Linked DNA regions of Pelodiscus sinensis. The protein of the gene in region 2 interacts with the protein of the main gene of each other region in a biochemical or structural test. Links are inferred from orthologs where the notes say so. Each region holds a gene or a part of one and is shown on either strand. Other genes may lie near its edges.

Region 1 (7,368 bases), on a different chromosome or scaffold from region 2:
ATTACCATTGGAGGAACTGAAATGCCAATTGTGATCCTTAGTGACTCAACCTACCGCTTGCTCAAGAAGCTGTACACAGGCAGTCTGGACCACACTAAAGAGCAGTTATAGGCTGAGCAAGTGTAGAATGGGGATAGAATGTGCACTTGGACTAGGGATGTTAAATATGGTTAATTAAGTAACCATGTAACCACTGAAAATCTTAGTGGTTATACCAGCGTTTCTCAAACCCAGGGGGGTCACAAGCAACTTGGGGGAGGGGGTCACAGGACATTCCATTTTTGGGGGGTTTTGGGATAGTCCGGTAAAAAAATGGAAAAAATACCAGACATGTGGAATGTCCAGTATTTTCTAGTTTTCTGGCTGGGCGCCCGACGGAAGCCTGGAGGAGGCGGGAGGAGTGGCTGGGAGGCAGGGCGCAATCAGCACTGAGAGCCTCTGGTTGCGTGTGACACCTTGGGGAGGAGGGGAAGCCCTGTACGTGTTCCTGAGCGCTGGTCAAGCGCGTTGTGGAACCTCAGCCAAACTCACTCGCGCTTTGCCGAGACTATGCGTGGGACGGGCAGCACCCTGGGATCTGCACGTGCCTGGGTCAGTCCTGCTCCCCGCCGGCAAATTCGCCCCCCCCCCCCCCGCCGTCCAGTTCTCCCCCACTTCTCCTCCCAATCTTCCCCGGCCAGCCCCGCTACCCCACCAGCCCTGCTTTCGGGGGCCAGTTCTCCCCTCCTCCTCCCGATGTCCCCCAGCCAGCCCCCAACCCCCCACCAGCCCTGCTTCCCGCTGGCCGGTTCCCCCGCGATCTCCCCTGGCCAGCCCCAATGACCCCCCAACTCCCCTGGCCAGCCCTGCTGCCCCCGCCAGCCCTACTTCCAGTGGCCAGTTCTCCCCTCCTCCTCCTGATGTTCCCCAGCCAGCCTCACTGCACCCAACCCTCCACCCCACCAGCCCTGCTTTCCGCCGGCCTGTTCCCCCACACAGCCCTGCTGCCCCCAACTCCCCGTTTGCTTGTGTAGCAGTGAGGATGGGGGGGTCACACAAATTCACTTAGAATTTTAGGGGGTCGTGATATTACAAAGTTTGAGAACCCCTGGGTTACACGATTACATGCTGTGGGCTCTGCAGTATACTGCAGAGCTTGCAGCGCAGCCAGTTCCCCGGGAGCAGGGGCGGCAGTCAGCACACACTGGGAGCCGGCTCCTAGCTGCTGGACCCACTCCAGGGGAACCAGCTACACTGCAGGCTCTGTAGTATAAGCTTTATACTCTGGGGGAGCCAGCTCCCAGCATATATCTCCTCTTGCCTGCCAGCACTGCTCCCAGGGAGCTGGCTGCTGCCCTGTGCTGCTGCCTCTGTCCGTGCACTGCCGCTCCCCCAGCGGAGTAGGAAGGGGTGGGGGGAGAAAGGGCCGTGCACAGAGTGCACCAGCAGAGCCCAAGCGCTCCCTGCTCTGCAGAGCTCCAGTTGGGCTCTGCGTGGTCTCTGCCGGGACTCCGGCAGCAGCTCCCAGGAGTGGTTCATCAGCTCCAACCAGCGCCCCTCCCCCTCCGCCAACAGCGGCAGCCGCCTGTGGATGATGGAGGCCGGCTGGAGGCTGCACACGGCAGAGGCAGTCCCATGGTGGGAGCGAAGGGCGTGCCGGACAGCAGCGTGTGCTGCAGGGGAGCTTGGCACTCTGGACACTGCGCACCATCCTGGGTTCCCACGCAAAGCAACAAGGGAGCCGCTTACGTGCTGAGTGGTGCTGGGGCATTACTGCTGCACTGCACTAGTACTAGGTGTCTGCGAGGGAGCCCCAGAGAGGGTGGGAAATGGCAGTTCTGTTTGTAGCTGGATCCCAACAGGTTTTCTGGGACATTTGCCACCTTTATTGGGACACCAGGACAGAACCCTTAAATCTGGGTCTGTCCTGGAAAAAAAGGGCTGTATGGTTACCGTATGCATAACACTTCTGAAAGTAAGGGAGGGAAATTTCATGTCAGATTGGGAGGTGGGACTTGAGGCAACTTGCCTAGCCACTAATTGTGAGAAACCAGACATCAGGGCAATAAGGTGAACACAGCAAGGGACACTGATAATCAGAGAGGTTTTGAAAAACAGGTTTGTGAATGACCAGACAGTGATATGGCAATCTTGTATGTTACTTTATAGGAGATGCCCCCTGCATTAAGTGTGCTGGCCTGTAAACCCTGTGACCGGCGCAATCTGCCCTATTCCCCCATGCAACAAAAGCAATAAAGATACTGTTGTAGAGAAACTTGTATTTAAGGATCACAAGAAAGCAGAGACTGAAAAGGAATTCCGAGTGAGAGCTGGGGCAAGGGGAGAGAAATCACTGAAGAGGAAATTCCAGTCTTCTGTTCTGGAAGACCCAGACTGTCCATTTGCCTCCTTTGTCTTTTGATACGCTGCCTGAGTTTCTTTATTTCCATGTGGCACTGCTGGGCATCCCTGGTGTATCCTTTTTCCACCATGCCCTGTGTAATCTTGCATTGATATCAGCATTTCTTTTTTTGGTTCATAGTTCTACCTACATAGATTCATCTTCCCCATTTTTTCAGGGATTTTCCTTCATACTCAGAGATGAGCTAAATTGAAAGTACTGGCCCTAGGGGCTACACGGGGGCACGGTGGGACACCTTCCAGAGGCCAAGAACATTGACTTTTAAAGCACTGTATCTGCACTACCCTACAGTTAAACTTAAAAAACAAAAGCTGATTGGGTAGCACTTTATAGACTAACAAAACATCGAATTTAACTTTGCTTCTTGCAAAAAGCAAGAGTACTGCAATCAACTTTAACAGCCCTTCAAGTCAGGGGAATGGGGTTGGTGATGTGGACTCTTTGTTTAGCAAATCAACTTAATGCAGCTAAGTTTGACCTAAACTGGTAGTGTAGTCAGAGTTCAGTGCAGCTTCACCTTCACCTTCAAGTCCGTATTCTATGGAGAGCAGGGAGGTGTTGTAGGGTGATCTCCATGCAGCCAGGGGCATTTGCTTTGCACTGCCATGCTGGTGCCTGCACATTTATTGACAACAATGAGATTTGCATATTATAGGCAGAAACTTTTTTAGTGGAGAATTTTTAATTTTTGGAGCAGAATTCCCTGGGGAGCATCATAATCTTTGACATGTTTGAAGACTGTAATCATGTCCCTCCCCAATAGTCTTTTCTCTGATTAAACATACCCAATTCTTTCAACTTTTCCTCTTAGTCCACGGAGGGCCCCAGTGTGCAGGGTGGGGGGACAAAACATTTTCTGGCAAGGTGATCTGGCTGTCGATCATCTGATCGGGGAACTGCAGCCTGACCATTTTTAGATCATGTGGCAATTTTCTTTCTGAGGAAGCCTTCCTCCCAGAAGTCCCGCTCACGGCTCAAAGCCCTTTCTGCTCTCAAACCCTTCCCTACACTTCCTCCCGAAAGCCCAGCCCGGCTAGCCCAGCAGAGCGCCGACCCCAGAAAGGGAGACGCACGAGAGACTCCAGCAAGGCCGCTAGGCTGGCCTCTGCTATTGCTGTGGATTGGCTGTGTCGGGCGCTCAGCTCCTCCCGCGATGGGAGCAGCCTGCAACTCAGACCGATGGATGCCGGCTTTGTGCTGCAGAGCTCGGCTCCCCGAAGCGCCCCTCCGAGCCGCGCGCTTCCTCAGACGGCTCTGCAACGTGGGGCGGCACATGGGAGCCCGGGCTCCGGAAGGCCGCCGCAGTCGGGGCTGTCTGAACTGAGAATCGGCCCCGCCCCTAGCGAGCAAGGCTGGTCTCCCAGCCCAGGGCGGGCCCGGCCGGCAAGAGGGAGAAGGCGGCAGAGTGGCAGGGCGGTATGGGGGATGGGAGGCTCGGTGCGCGGCCTCTCCCAGCCCCGCCGCCAGGGGAGCGGCGCGCGGGCCGCGAAGGCGCCTCACTCACTCACGCGCTGCAGTCAGAGGCAGAGGCGCGCGCGCCCGCGGCAGGGGCTGTGGTGGCCGGGCTAGGCGTGTCCCCCGCGGTGGTGCGCGCGCCGACGCCAGCGGCGGTTGGCGCGGCCCCCGCTCTGTGGGGCGGAGGGGAAGGCGCGGGCGCAGGCGCTCGCTCCCTCGCGGTTGCCATGGCCCCGTTTGACGTCACGGGCAGTGTGGTGCCCGTGCGTTGCGGCGCAGTGATTGGCGGAGACCCCGTGTGCGGCGCTGGAGAGAGGCTGCAGCGGAGAGAGCAGCAGGGCTAGAGGTACAGTCCGCGCCGGCTACTCGCCCAGAGACACTCGCGCCGCCGCTTCCTCCTTACGCAGGTAACCGGGCCCACGGCAGCGCTAGTCCCACGGGGCGCCCGCGAGGGCGGAAGGAGCTGGCGGGGCAGCGGAGGCCCCCTCCCCCCGCGGTCCTTCCGCAGGCAGCAGGGCGGCTCCCCGCGCCGCGCTCCCGAGGGCAGGGCGCCGGGGAGCCGGCCGCCGGGCAACTGTGCCGCCGCTGCGGATGTGGCCTCGGCCGCCGCTGCACAGGTGAGGCCGGATCCGCCCCGCCCTGTCCCGGCCACTAGGCGGCTGCCCGGGGAGTGGGAAGCGGAGCCGTTGGCGAGGCGGGGGCAGCAGCGTGTGACCCGGGGCAGGGTCAGCGGGGGCTGCTGCTCTCGCCGGGCCCTGGCAGGTGAGGCTGCGGGGGGTGGCTCGCCGGGCCGGGGAGGCAGCGGGCGCTTGGGGAAGGCAGGCGCGACCCTCCCCACCTGGGCGCGCGGGGCCCTGCGGGCAGGGCGCGGGCGGCTCGCTGGCTGGGTGTGGCCTCCCGCCGGCCGAGCGGGGTTCCTGGGGCCCCTCCTGCGGTGGCCCCGCCCCGGATCCCGGCGCTGGTCACTGGGGGCCCCGGCCGCGGGGAGTGTAATGGGCGCTGTGCCGGGTTCCCGAGTGGCCGCGGCAGCTCCTGCAGGGCGGTGACTGCGCTGGCGCCGTGGGGCGGGCTCCTCGCCCCCGTGGCTGCGGCTTTCCCTTCCGTCGCTGTGTTGGGGCGGGGGCTCGGCGGCCGCCTCCCCACGGCGCTGGGCTGAGGTGAGCGGGGTTAGCGCGTTAGCCCGGTGGGCTGGGCTCTGGCATGGATCCGCCATGACAAAGAGCCCGGCGGAGGCGCTGCCTGTCTCGGAGCCGGGCGGATGCGGCGGCGGCCGCAGCGCGGGAGGGGCGGCGGGAGGAGTCTGGCCCGGTCGTCCCTCCTCGCCCACGCCGTGTCGATTTCGTGTTGTAGCCGCCCAGTTCCCCGCCGCCCGCGCTCCGTGTAGCCGTGCCCACTGCAAGCGCGGCCCTGCGCTGCGGCGAGCTCAACAGCACCATTTTATGCTGTCAAGACACGATCTAGTGTATAGAGAAATCGACTGGCATTTTCCCATCCTCGCGGTGCTTCATTAAAGTAGCTTTTCCTCTGTTAAAGTGCAGCAGTGCTGGCTAGGATCATGGCGTGCTAGTCTAGTGGCGTTGGCTAGCCAATAACCACAGTTTGATAAACTGGCTTTCAGATAAGATTTTAACTATTTGCCTGTCTAATCTATTCTGGGTGGTAACAGCTGTAGGTGAAACCATTCTGTAAAATGGCTTCTTAGCAGTGTTTGCAGTATGGTCAAAGGCCTTAAACCACCCTGGCAAATATTACAGAGAAATGGGAGCAACTAGTGTTGGTTAAAACAGCTACTGAAACGTGCTATAAATAACCTTGAGATGATCTGATCTCTGAAAAAGATCCAAATTTATTTCATTGAGTTTAAATACAAGAAATTCTATTCCAGGTAGTCTTATGTGAAATATCACTTGTATAAGCCAAATCAAAACTGTTGGGGTCAATGTTATGGCAATTGGAATATGTAACATAAAAACACAGTATGCTTAGGTGAAATGATTTTTCACTTTTTAGCCTCTGCAGTTAGTATACTAATGAACCATATAGCTAGTGCATATTGTAGGGCTCAAAATAATTATCAGGAGCCAAAAATTCATGAAGTGTGTGTGTGTGGGGGGGGGGAAGATTCTGACCAGTTAGAGATACAAAAGGGTGTGCTTTAATCAAGTTAGGTTAGTATGATTGAAAGGGCTTGTTAAGATGCAGTCCTGAAGGGCTACAACACACCCAACTAACATTTGCATCTCAATGATGGTTTTCACTCAAATTGAGCAATTTAACCCATCAAACCATCACTAGAGAGTTAGAAGAGCAATGCCCAGGTGAGAAGCTTAGAGTCTCCCATTCTAGCATGGGTGTATAATTAGGGCCTGAATTGTAATATTAACCTCTGGGTGTCTGAAAGTTTAAAAGCAGACTTCTTCAGGGAGTAGAGTTCTCTGCTACTACTTCAGTCTGGAGGGTTTTTTTTTAATTTCTATTTTTCATTTTTTGGGGTGTTTTTTCTCTGAACTGCTTAAGGGTAAGTTACTGATGCTCTCTCAATTTGTTCTCTAATCATCAGAATAATGCAACTGAAGAAGTTAATGATGCTGCTTGGAAGTCTGAAGAGAATTCTGAGCAGTGGCAAGAGTTGTCACTACATACTTGAACAGCACAGAAATGGTGCCCCTTAACATTCTGAATGTGGTGATTTTTTTTTTAACAAATGATTATCAGTACTAATTAAATAAAGGTTTGAATTTGTAGAAATATCATAGCTTGAACACTTCCAAGTCACTAGTTTTATATATATTCCAGCATTCAGGGCCAATTTAGAGTGCCTTAATTGCATAATGACAAGCTAGAATATTGCATATTTTTTTAAAAAAAGACTTGTTTTATATATATGAGGCTATTTTGCCCTTGATGAATATTGTTTGAATAATGCCTTCGTGTTTTCCCTCTTCAGCAAAATCAGCATGGATAAAAATGAGCTGGTGCAAAAGGCCAAACTGGCTGAGCAGGCTGAGAGATATGATGACATGGCAGGCTGCATGAAGTCTGTGACTGAGCAAGGAGCTGAGTTGTCCAATGAGGAGAGGAATCTTCTCTCTGTTGCTTACAAAAATGTCGTAGGAGCCCGTAGGTCATCTTGGAGAGTCGTCTCAAGTATTGAACAAAAGACGGAAGGTGCTGAGAAAAAACAGCAGATGGCCAGAGAATACAGAGAGAAAATTGAGACAGAGCTAAGAGATATCTGCAATGATGTGCTGGTGAGAGATAATAAAACTGTATTTAATTCATGTTTTCTTAATATTAGGGGATAAATAGTTTTGACCCTGTTCAGCTATTTTTCAGTCCCTTGCTAAAAACTGAGGCATTCCATGCAAGGCATCCAAATCTTGCAAATACCACCACTTCTGAAAAACAAAGTTGGATAACTGGATGGCGCCTCATCCTTAAATATATAATTCCAAAACTTGTATTAAAGTTCTCATGGGCATCAACTCTTAACATATTTGCAAATATGTTTA
Region 2 (8,000 bases):
GAAGTCATTGTGTGGCAAGCTCAGCCAGAAGGAAATATATTAATCAATCCAGACACCGCCCTTACTTCAACTTATTTCAAAACATTGGTCAATTTCACTTTTGTGCTACAAATTAGAAAGAGCTACTGCTCTATTAACCTGTGCAATGAAAAACAGTTGTTTTGGTTACACCTTTACAGCATGCCTACACTAACAGGGGATCTACACACAGCATCTACAGTCCTTGCCACAAACTCAGATTCAAGACTCCCACAAGTGAATCACAATGGATGAAGCAGGGAAGATAGAGTATAGTTAGTGTAGAATATTTTTAAATTTGTTATAGCATTAGGGAATAGAGGAAAGGATGGTTGCAGCACTTCGTGACATTAAGTTTTTGAGTTGCATCTGGCTAAGTCCTTGGTTAAAACAATATTAAAGAGCTATAAAAAGTCTAAAGTAAACTCTCGAAGGCTAAGAAATTCAGATAAGAGGCTGAAACTTCATTTTAAAACCATTTTTAAGAGTACACTAAAAGATATTACCCTTGCATCCTAGCCAAATTGCAGTTCAGGTATAGTTACCACTTTCTTCTTTATCAGGTTTTAAAAATTTCCCATACAGTTGCAGTTTGAAGTACTTTTACTTACTATTCTTGACTTCTGTGCCATTCTGCTATTGCTAAACAACTGATAGGTTCAACCCAATTTAAAAGCAATGGCTATACAAATTTTTTACCTATGTGATAATTGAATAGTGAATTATGAATTAAAGTTTCAGATTCCTCACATTACCTGGTTATCCTCTAATAAAAGATATAATAATAGTGCAAAAAATTACTTTCATTGTTATTATTAATGTAACAACTATACATGACAGGTAAAAATCAAGAATACAATTTACTGCTTACTCTGAATTTGTGTATCTGTTAATGTAGACCATTCCCATTATTTAAAATAGATATGGGGGGAATTACATTTTGCAGCCGAACAAACTGAACTTTTAAAAGGTGAAAAAAATGTAAATCATACATTTATTTTTAGAAAATACAAACCAGTCTTACAGAGATCATATTTCTCCATATATATATATACACAAAAGTTTTTTCTGCTGCATGTGACAGAATTATGTCATCAGGCTCTCTGGAGAGAGGAGGGTTGGTGAGTGTAGTGAGCAGGGCATAGCCTCCTAGATGTCTTTAAACATCTTTTGGGGATAACATGCATTTTATTTTACATGATTGACTGCTAGGAAGGATCTCTGTCTGAAAACAAATGTGAAAATGACATTGGAAAGCACCTGCAATATTTAATATAAAATGAGTCAGCCTTAAATAACAGAGGTAACCAAACAGAATAAACTACAGAACTTTCCCTGCTTTGTTTCTGAAGTTGTCCTGAGCATGACAGTGGGTATAAAAGACAGATGTTACTTCCTTAACACATCCTGCTCCATTTAGAAACAATATTGGATTATCACAATGTTTGTAGTGCATGACATCATATGTGATCTGTGCAATATAGTTCGTATGTAATTTATGAACATACTTTGCTTTATTTTGATTTAGAGCTTAGGAAAAGAGACAAAATTATTCTTTTTAGCAAACAGCTGACAAAAAACTTTAGCCATCCTTTACAATGTAAATACTACATACAGCATTTTTTTTAAAAATCATTAATATTCTAGAGCCGTGGTCCAGGACTGTGGTATACTATATTAGGAACATTAGCAGTGCGTCTAGACTGGCAAGCACTTTTTGCGCAAAAGCATCCTTACTAGACAGGCTTTTGTAGAAATACTTTTAACAGAAAAACTTTTAACGTATAATGTAACAGTAGTAACTATTATAATCTGTTTTCCAACATGTACTTTGATACAGAAGAAATCACAACACAAATAACTGAATTCCACAGATTAATAATACCCCATTTACTATTTTATTTATTTTTAATGCACATCTCTCTTTAACATGGTTATTTACTGGAACACCTGATGGTAACTATACAGAACTGCTGACTTTTGGGCCCTGGAGCTATAGTTTTGTATTTCTCATCTCACAGTAATACTGTCACCCTATGTCATCTCCGCGGTGACAATATGGTCAGCAACAGCATTTTCAAGGAGACTATTCCTGTGCACCACTGTCTAGCGGTCTTCACACCTGCCTGTCTGGCACAAGACGCCCGTGTCTGTTGTTACTAGCTGGCCAGGAGCGGAGACTTGACCGAGCTGGACAGTCCCAAACCTCGAGGAAGTTTCCATGTGGCTCATTAAAAACCAGCGCCAGCCGCCAAGTTGGGCTCTGAATCCAAACTGCCCGCCAAGTTGCGGGGAGCTCGGGGCTGGCTCGCCAAGGGGCGGTGTCAGGCTCTGGGTCTGCCAGCTAGGGGTGAGGGGTTTACCTGCTGCACCGCGGCCACGCGCAAGTGGGAGTCCAACACCAGCAACAAGGGCACGTGGAGGTTCCGGCCAGCGAAGAGCTTGGGGGCTGAGGAGAGAGGAAAGAGCCGGTTACTCGCGGGGCCGAGCCGGGGAGCCGTAGCGGGGCCCGCCCGCCCGGGCAGGAACCTCACCGCGGGGCCGGTGGGCCAAGGCCAGCAAGTCCTCCAGCGTCTGCAGCACGCTCTGCAGCTGCGTCCCCTCCTGCACGTTCGTCAGGCGAACGACCAGTTTCCCCAGGGCGGCTTCCTCCCTCTCCTCCTCCTCCTCCTCCGGCTCCTGCTGCTCCTCCCGGCAGCGGCTTCCACTGGCCATGTCCGAGCCCCGCCTCATCTCAGCGAGTGTGCTGGGAGCGCTCCCCGGCTGCCGCCGCCATGTCGATCCCGCGGGCCGCGGCTCAGCCCCGCCGCCGGAGTCATCGGACTATTTTTAAGCCGCATCCCCGCCCCTTCACCTCAGCGCTGACAACATCTGCGGCGAGTGTCCGCAGGCCCGGCCCAGCTCGAGGGGAAGGGGCCGCAGCGCCGCCCGGTTGCCCGTAGAGGGCGCTCCCGCTACACAGTCTCGCGTTGCAATCCCAGCAGGATTCGGTGGGGAGGGGGCGTTAGGGTAGCATCAACCAATCAGTTACAGCCACTGACAGCCCCGCCCTCCAATCGCATGGGAGCTCTGGAGAGGCCCGCCCCTTCCTGCCTCTCTCGGTCTCATAAGGGGGCGGCGAGCCACGTAGCGCTTCTGACGCGTTCTTGTTGGTCGCGAGGGTGGCTGGCCAAGGCATAGCTAGCTAGCTGTGGTGGCCCCTTTTGGGGCCCTTACGAATGGGGCAAAAGGGTCTCATGGGGTACGAACAGGGGAGTCACTGCGGGTGGCTGGGGTGGGCCCCAGAAGGGGCCTGGCTGAGCAAGAAGGTGCTGTGCTCCAGGCTCGCCATGTGTCTCAGGAAGGGCTACAGTTGATTTTCCAGCTGTCCCCCAGATGGGAGGGTCCCAGGCATGTTAGGCTGCCTCAGAGCCTGGGTTGGGTGCTGTGATTACTGGTCAGAGCATAGCTGTTGCGGACACCCCATCCTTCCTCTTGGCTGCTGCTACTATGAAGTTAGAACATGCACCTCCTAGGCTAGGCCTTTGAACTTCTCAGTACTTGTCTCAGTACCAGTACAGTCAGCTGTCCTTTGCAGGCAAGAGGCTCCAAATCATAGGGTTGCCAGGTGTCTGGTTTTGAACTGAACAGTCCTGTTTGGGAAACAAATTGAGAAAATATAAATATGGTCGTTTCTAAATAAGATGTAATGTAGCTTGTGATGTCACGTCAAGTGTGTCCAATATTTTTGTTGAAACCATTTGGCAAGCCTATTAAGCAATTAGCTAAGTCCATCTCCAGAATGAGGGGACTTTCAAAAAAAAGCGCCTCCTTTTGAGTAAAGGAGCAACTCTGCTAATGAACTCTAGCTATCATCTATTATTTATATGACAGAGGCTTAAGAAGCATTGAATTTACTGCAAATTTCTGAAGTATAAAATAAAATAAGATCTAGAGTCCCTCATCTCACCCAGGAGTGGCCCGAGGCCAGCTGTAGCAGCTAGCGCCCCAGGCAGAAGGCGCAATTGGTGCCCCTGCCTGCATAGCGGTCAATGTCTGTGATGTAATCACAGGGCGCCCCATGACATCATCATCGGGCGCCTGGGCCAGCGGCGCTCTAGGCAACTGCCTAGTCTGACTAGGCTCATGGGCCACCCCTGATCTCACCACGTTTGAAATTATTTTGAAGTGGGATAGCTGTCTCTCATTTTCATGCCACACATGCTTCTATTATATACAATTATTTGAAATTAATTTAGCCACACCATTAGTGGATTCAGGAAGGGAAACAGTGATAATGTGATTTAAAATTTATAAACTTCAAGTTCTTGTGATTGTTCTTTTGTAATAAATACACAACTAGAAAATACAGGAGTTTCAGTGTACTAACCAACTTGTTAGTGTATCTGTCTTTAAATTCATCAATGTGTCTGTCACATCTCCAGAATAGTTGTAAAAGGTGCCACATGAAAAATAATCATCTACAAATGGGGCTTGCAACAGTATGTTAATGAAAGTATTGCTAATTTTTACTCTTAATCTTTTAGGCTGCATCTAGACTGGCAAGATTTTGTGCAAAAGCAGCCACTTTCTCTTTGCTGCTTTTGCAAAAACAAACCTGTACTGTCACCAGTTTTGTTTTTCACCTTTTTAAGTGCTTCAAGCCTGATACTACAAATCACATTTTTAGTAACTAAATTGTAACCAATACAAAATTCTTCTGACTAAAGGAAGAGAAATTGAATACTTTTAGGCTACGTCTACACTGGCAGCTTGCGGAAGAACTCTTTTGCGGAAGAGTTCTTCTGCAAAAACTCTTCCGGAAGAGAGCATCTACGCTGGCATGTGCTTTTGCACAAGAGATGTGCTTTTGCGCAAGAGCATCCATGCCAGGGTAGACGCTCTCTTGCACAAGAAAGCTCTGATGGCCATTTTAACCATAGGGCTTTCTTGCACAAGAAATTCATGTTGCCTGTCTACACTGGCCTCTTGCACAAGAACAGTTGCGCAAAAGGGCTTATTCCTGAGCGGGAGCGTCAGAGTTCTGGCACAAGAAGCCCTGATTTCATACATTAAAACGTCAGTTTACTTGCGCAAGAACACGTGGCCAGTATATACAGTAGCATGTTTTTGTGCAAGAGCTGCTGCTTTTGCACAAGATCATGCCAGTGTAGATACAGCTTAAGAGTAATTAAGTTTTTCTCTGTTAAACATGATGATTGCCTTACCGTTTTTGAAGGAGCAACTAGGATTGTGGAGTTATTGAAGCTCTCATGCTTACCTATACCCTGATGCCCTGGTTACTGAAAAGCATGCACAGTGCTTAATATAAAAACACATGAAGAAAACACCAACTTAATGCTTCTTTTTAAAATGTTTCATTTTTTATACACAAGCATTCTGAAACACCTACAAATCGTTGGTTACTGCAAATGCTTGTTGACTAAACTATCCTTGAACTATTAGTATCAACTTGATACTCAAAACATAGGGCAGTGCTATCTGAATCAAGCCATATTTTTAAGTGTTATACCAAGAAACTCTTATCTTGGTTTAATAATTATCAACCACAAAACCATGACTGCATTTGTGACATGAAGTTTTAGCTTGTTTCCCTTGAAAGGCAAAGCCCTAAAAAGACAACGTGTCAGTCTGATGAAACAGTGATTCAGATTTAGAAATTAGTTAAATGGTTTCTCACTTCTGCTAACTTTCCTAATGACAAAGTTGATTGATAAGAAATAGATCCATATCAGCAAATCTAATACAGTTTTCTTACTGCAGAATTAATAGTTCAAACACTCTTTTCAAGGAATGGTGATAGATGCATTGCAGTCTTGACCTTCAGACAGTTGTTGGCACCAGAAACTTCAGAGGAAAGTTTAAAATATGCTGTAAATTATATAGTCAGTAATTACACCTTTGGGAAGACTCTCTAATACCAACTATGGGTTTTTATATCTCCTCAAATGCTTATCTTAACTAGCATAAATTGCACATTTTTACTAATCCTGTTTACATAACTGGTTAATCCTAATTTGAATTCTGTTGTGGATGCTATGCCTTCCTTTTTGAAGAGTGATTACGGTGTAATGATATTTGTAATGGGGTGTTAATTTTCATGTGTGTGGCTGCCATAAATAAATTTTAACTCTTTTTGGGGGAAAAAAGTGTCCTCTCAATCAATGATATAATTACTAAATTGCATACTGAATTTTTGAGTTGAAAGTTAATGATTCATTATAATTGGTCATTTGGATCTTCATATCTTCATAATGTAATGTAACAGGTGGTCTGGGTGCACTGCTGAAAGGGTCAAATCAGGGCAAATTGCTTAGAATCAGGCTATTTACACCTTCCTCTATAACTACACTTTAGCTGTCAATCTGGACAGCAAGAAAAGTTACACAAACAATCCCTTTAGACATGCCAGCATTATCTGCGTCACAACCACTATGATACCTTACACATGTGAGCAGTTATGGAAACAGATCTCACCAGCTCTGAACAGGTTCTCCTGATTCTAAAGGACCAGACACAGGTCAATTTATACCTTAGCTCAAGGGTGGGGAGCCTAAGGCCCGGGGGCTGGATGTGGCCCTGCCTTGTCTGGATCTGACCTTTGAAGCTCAAGGCCCCTCCTCAGCATTGGGGAGCCTGTGCTGGCACTCCAGCCCCTACTGTCCCCCTGTGGGACCGGAGCACACAAACTCTACTAGCCGAGGCCCCCCTAGCTATGGTGTGCAAGGGGAATGTGGGGAGTGTCTTTCTCCTCCTTAGTTGGGGCCACATCAGTGATGATTTTGGTGGGTTTTTATGCTTCTCGCTTGTGTGTGGACCCCAACTGATTTTTCTGTGGGTCAGTGGCCCCTGACCCAAAAAAGGTTCCTACCTCTGCCTTAGATCTTACCCAAAAGAACACACCATACCAGTCCATTAGAATCTAAAATCTAAAAGTTTGTTAATAAAGAAAAGGTTGAGAGTAGAATTGTTGAAGAAAGCACATTACATACATCAGTCACCAAGTGCTTGATGCAGGCTCTTAGCAGAGATGTAATAAACCACTAGCTTAAAAGTCTCTGGAGTACATCCTGGCTACGTCTAGATTGCATCCCTTTTTCGTAAAAGGGATGCAAATTAGACGTATCGCAATTGCTAATGAAGCAGGGATTTAAATCTCCCCCGCTTCATTAGCATAAAAATGGCTGCCGCTTTTTTTCGTCACGGAGCTTTGCCGGAAAAAAGCGCCAGTCTAGATGCGGATCTTTCGGAAAATAAAACCTTTTCCGAAAGATCCCTTATCCCTCTTAAAATAAGGGATAAGGGATCTTTTGGAAAAGGCTTGGCAAAGAGGCAGGGAGAGCCATGAAGTCAGTGGCTTCCTCTGGCTGCCTTTCCTACCACAATGGCTGCCCAGGGTGCCTGTGCCTTTAAGACATGGCTACAGACAGGGACAATAGAGGTTTCTCCTGCAGATGAAGTGTCCACCAGGACTTTTCCCTGGAGACCTGTTTTTTCAACAAACAAACAAACCCCGCATCTATACACGCCTTTTTTCGATAGATCTCTTCATAAAATGAGGAAGACAAAACCACCGTGTTCTTTCGATTTACTTTCGAAAGAACACGGTGGCAGTCTATATGTGGGTGAAGTTTTTTTGAAACTTCTGTTCCATTGAAAGAAAACATTTGTACTTTTCCTAATTACCTTGCAAACTCAATGAGAGATATTACATCTCTTTTCAGCAACAAGCTTGTTGTATTTGGGGGTCATATTTGAAGTGGATATTTTCATAATGTCTTCCAAATGGTCATCAGTCAGAGAAGAACGTTGCTTGTTTTTATTCATGTTCATGGTGGAAAATGTTTCTTCACATATGTAAGTGCTTCCAAAAATGCTGAACGTTTTCAGTGTAAGTTCGATAAGATTTTTGTACTTTTCATTGTCCAGACTTTTGTAGAAGTACCGCAGGCTGCTTTCTCTGTGCTTATTTTGGTAAACTG

Evidence for each region. The genes of interacting proteins can lie anywhere in the genome.
Region 1: the proteins of LRRK2 (region 2) and YWHAZ interact on a protein array, tested with the Homo sapiens proteins (3 studies listed by BioGRID and IntAct, with this or other methods). The link is inferred for Pelodiscus sinensis from reciprocal best matches to the Homo sapiens genes LRRK2 and YWHAZ.

Annotation. Positions count from the first base shown.
Region 1 is NC_134712.1:35,253,596-35,260,963, forward strand, and holds the start of YWHAZ (14-3-3 protein zeta/delta), read left to right. Parts: upstream 1-4,352; 5' UTR 4,353-4,447; coding exon 4,448-4,473; intron 4,474-4,879; exon of another isoform or gene 4,880-5,013; intron 5,014-6,803; coding exon 6,804-7,107; intron 7,108-7,368.
Region 2 is NC_134711.1:27,626,838-27,634,837, forward strand, and holds the start of LRRK2 (leucine-rich repeat serine/threonine-protein kinase 2), read right to left. Parts: upstream 3,019-8,000; 5' UTR 2,752-3,018; coding exon 2,553-2,751; intron 2,468-2,552; coding exon 2,382-2,467; intron 1-2,381. UniProt on the Homo sapiens protein: Serine/threonine-protein kinase which phosphorylates a broad range of proteins involved in multiple processes such as neuronal plasticity, innate immunity, autophagy, and vesicle trafficking.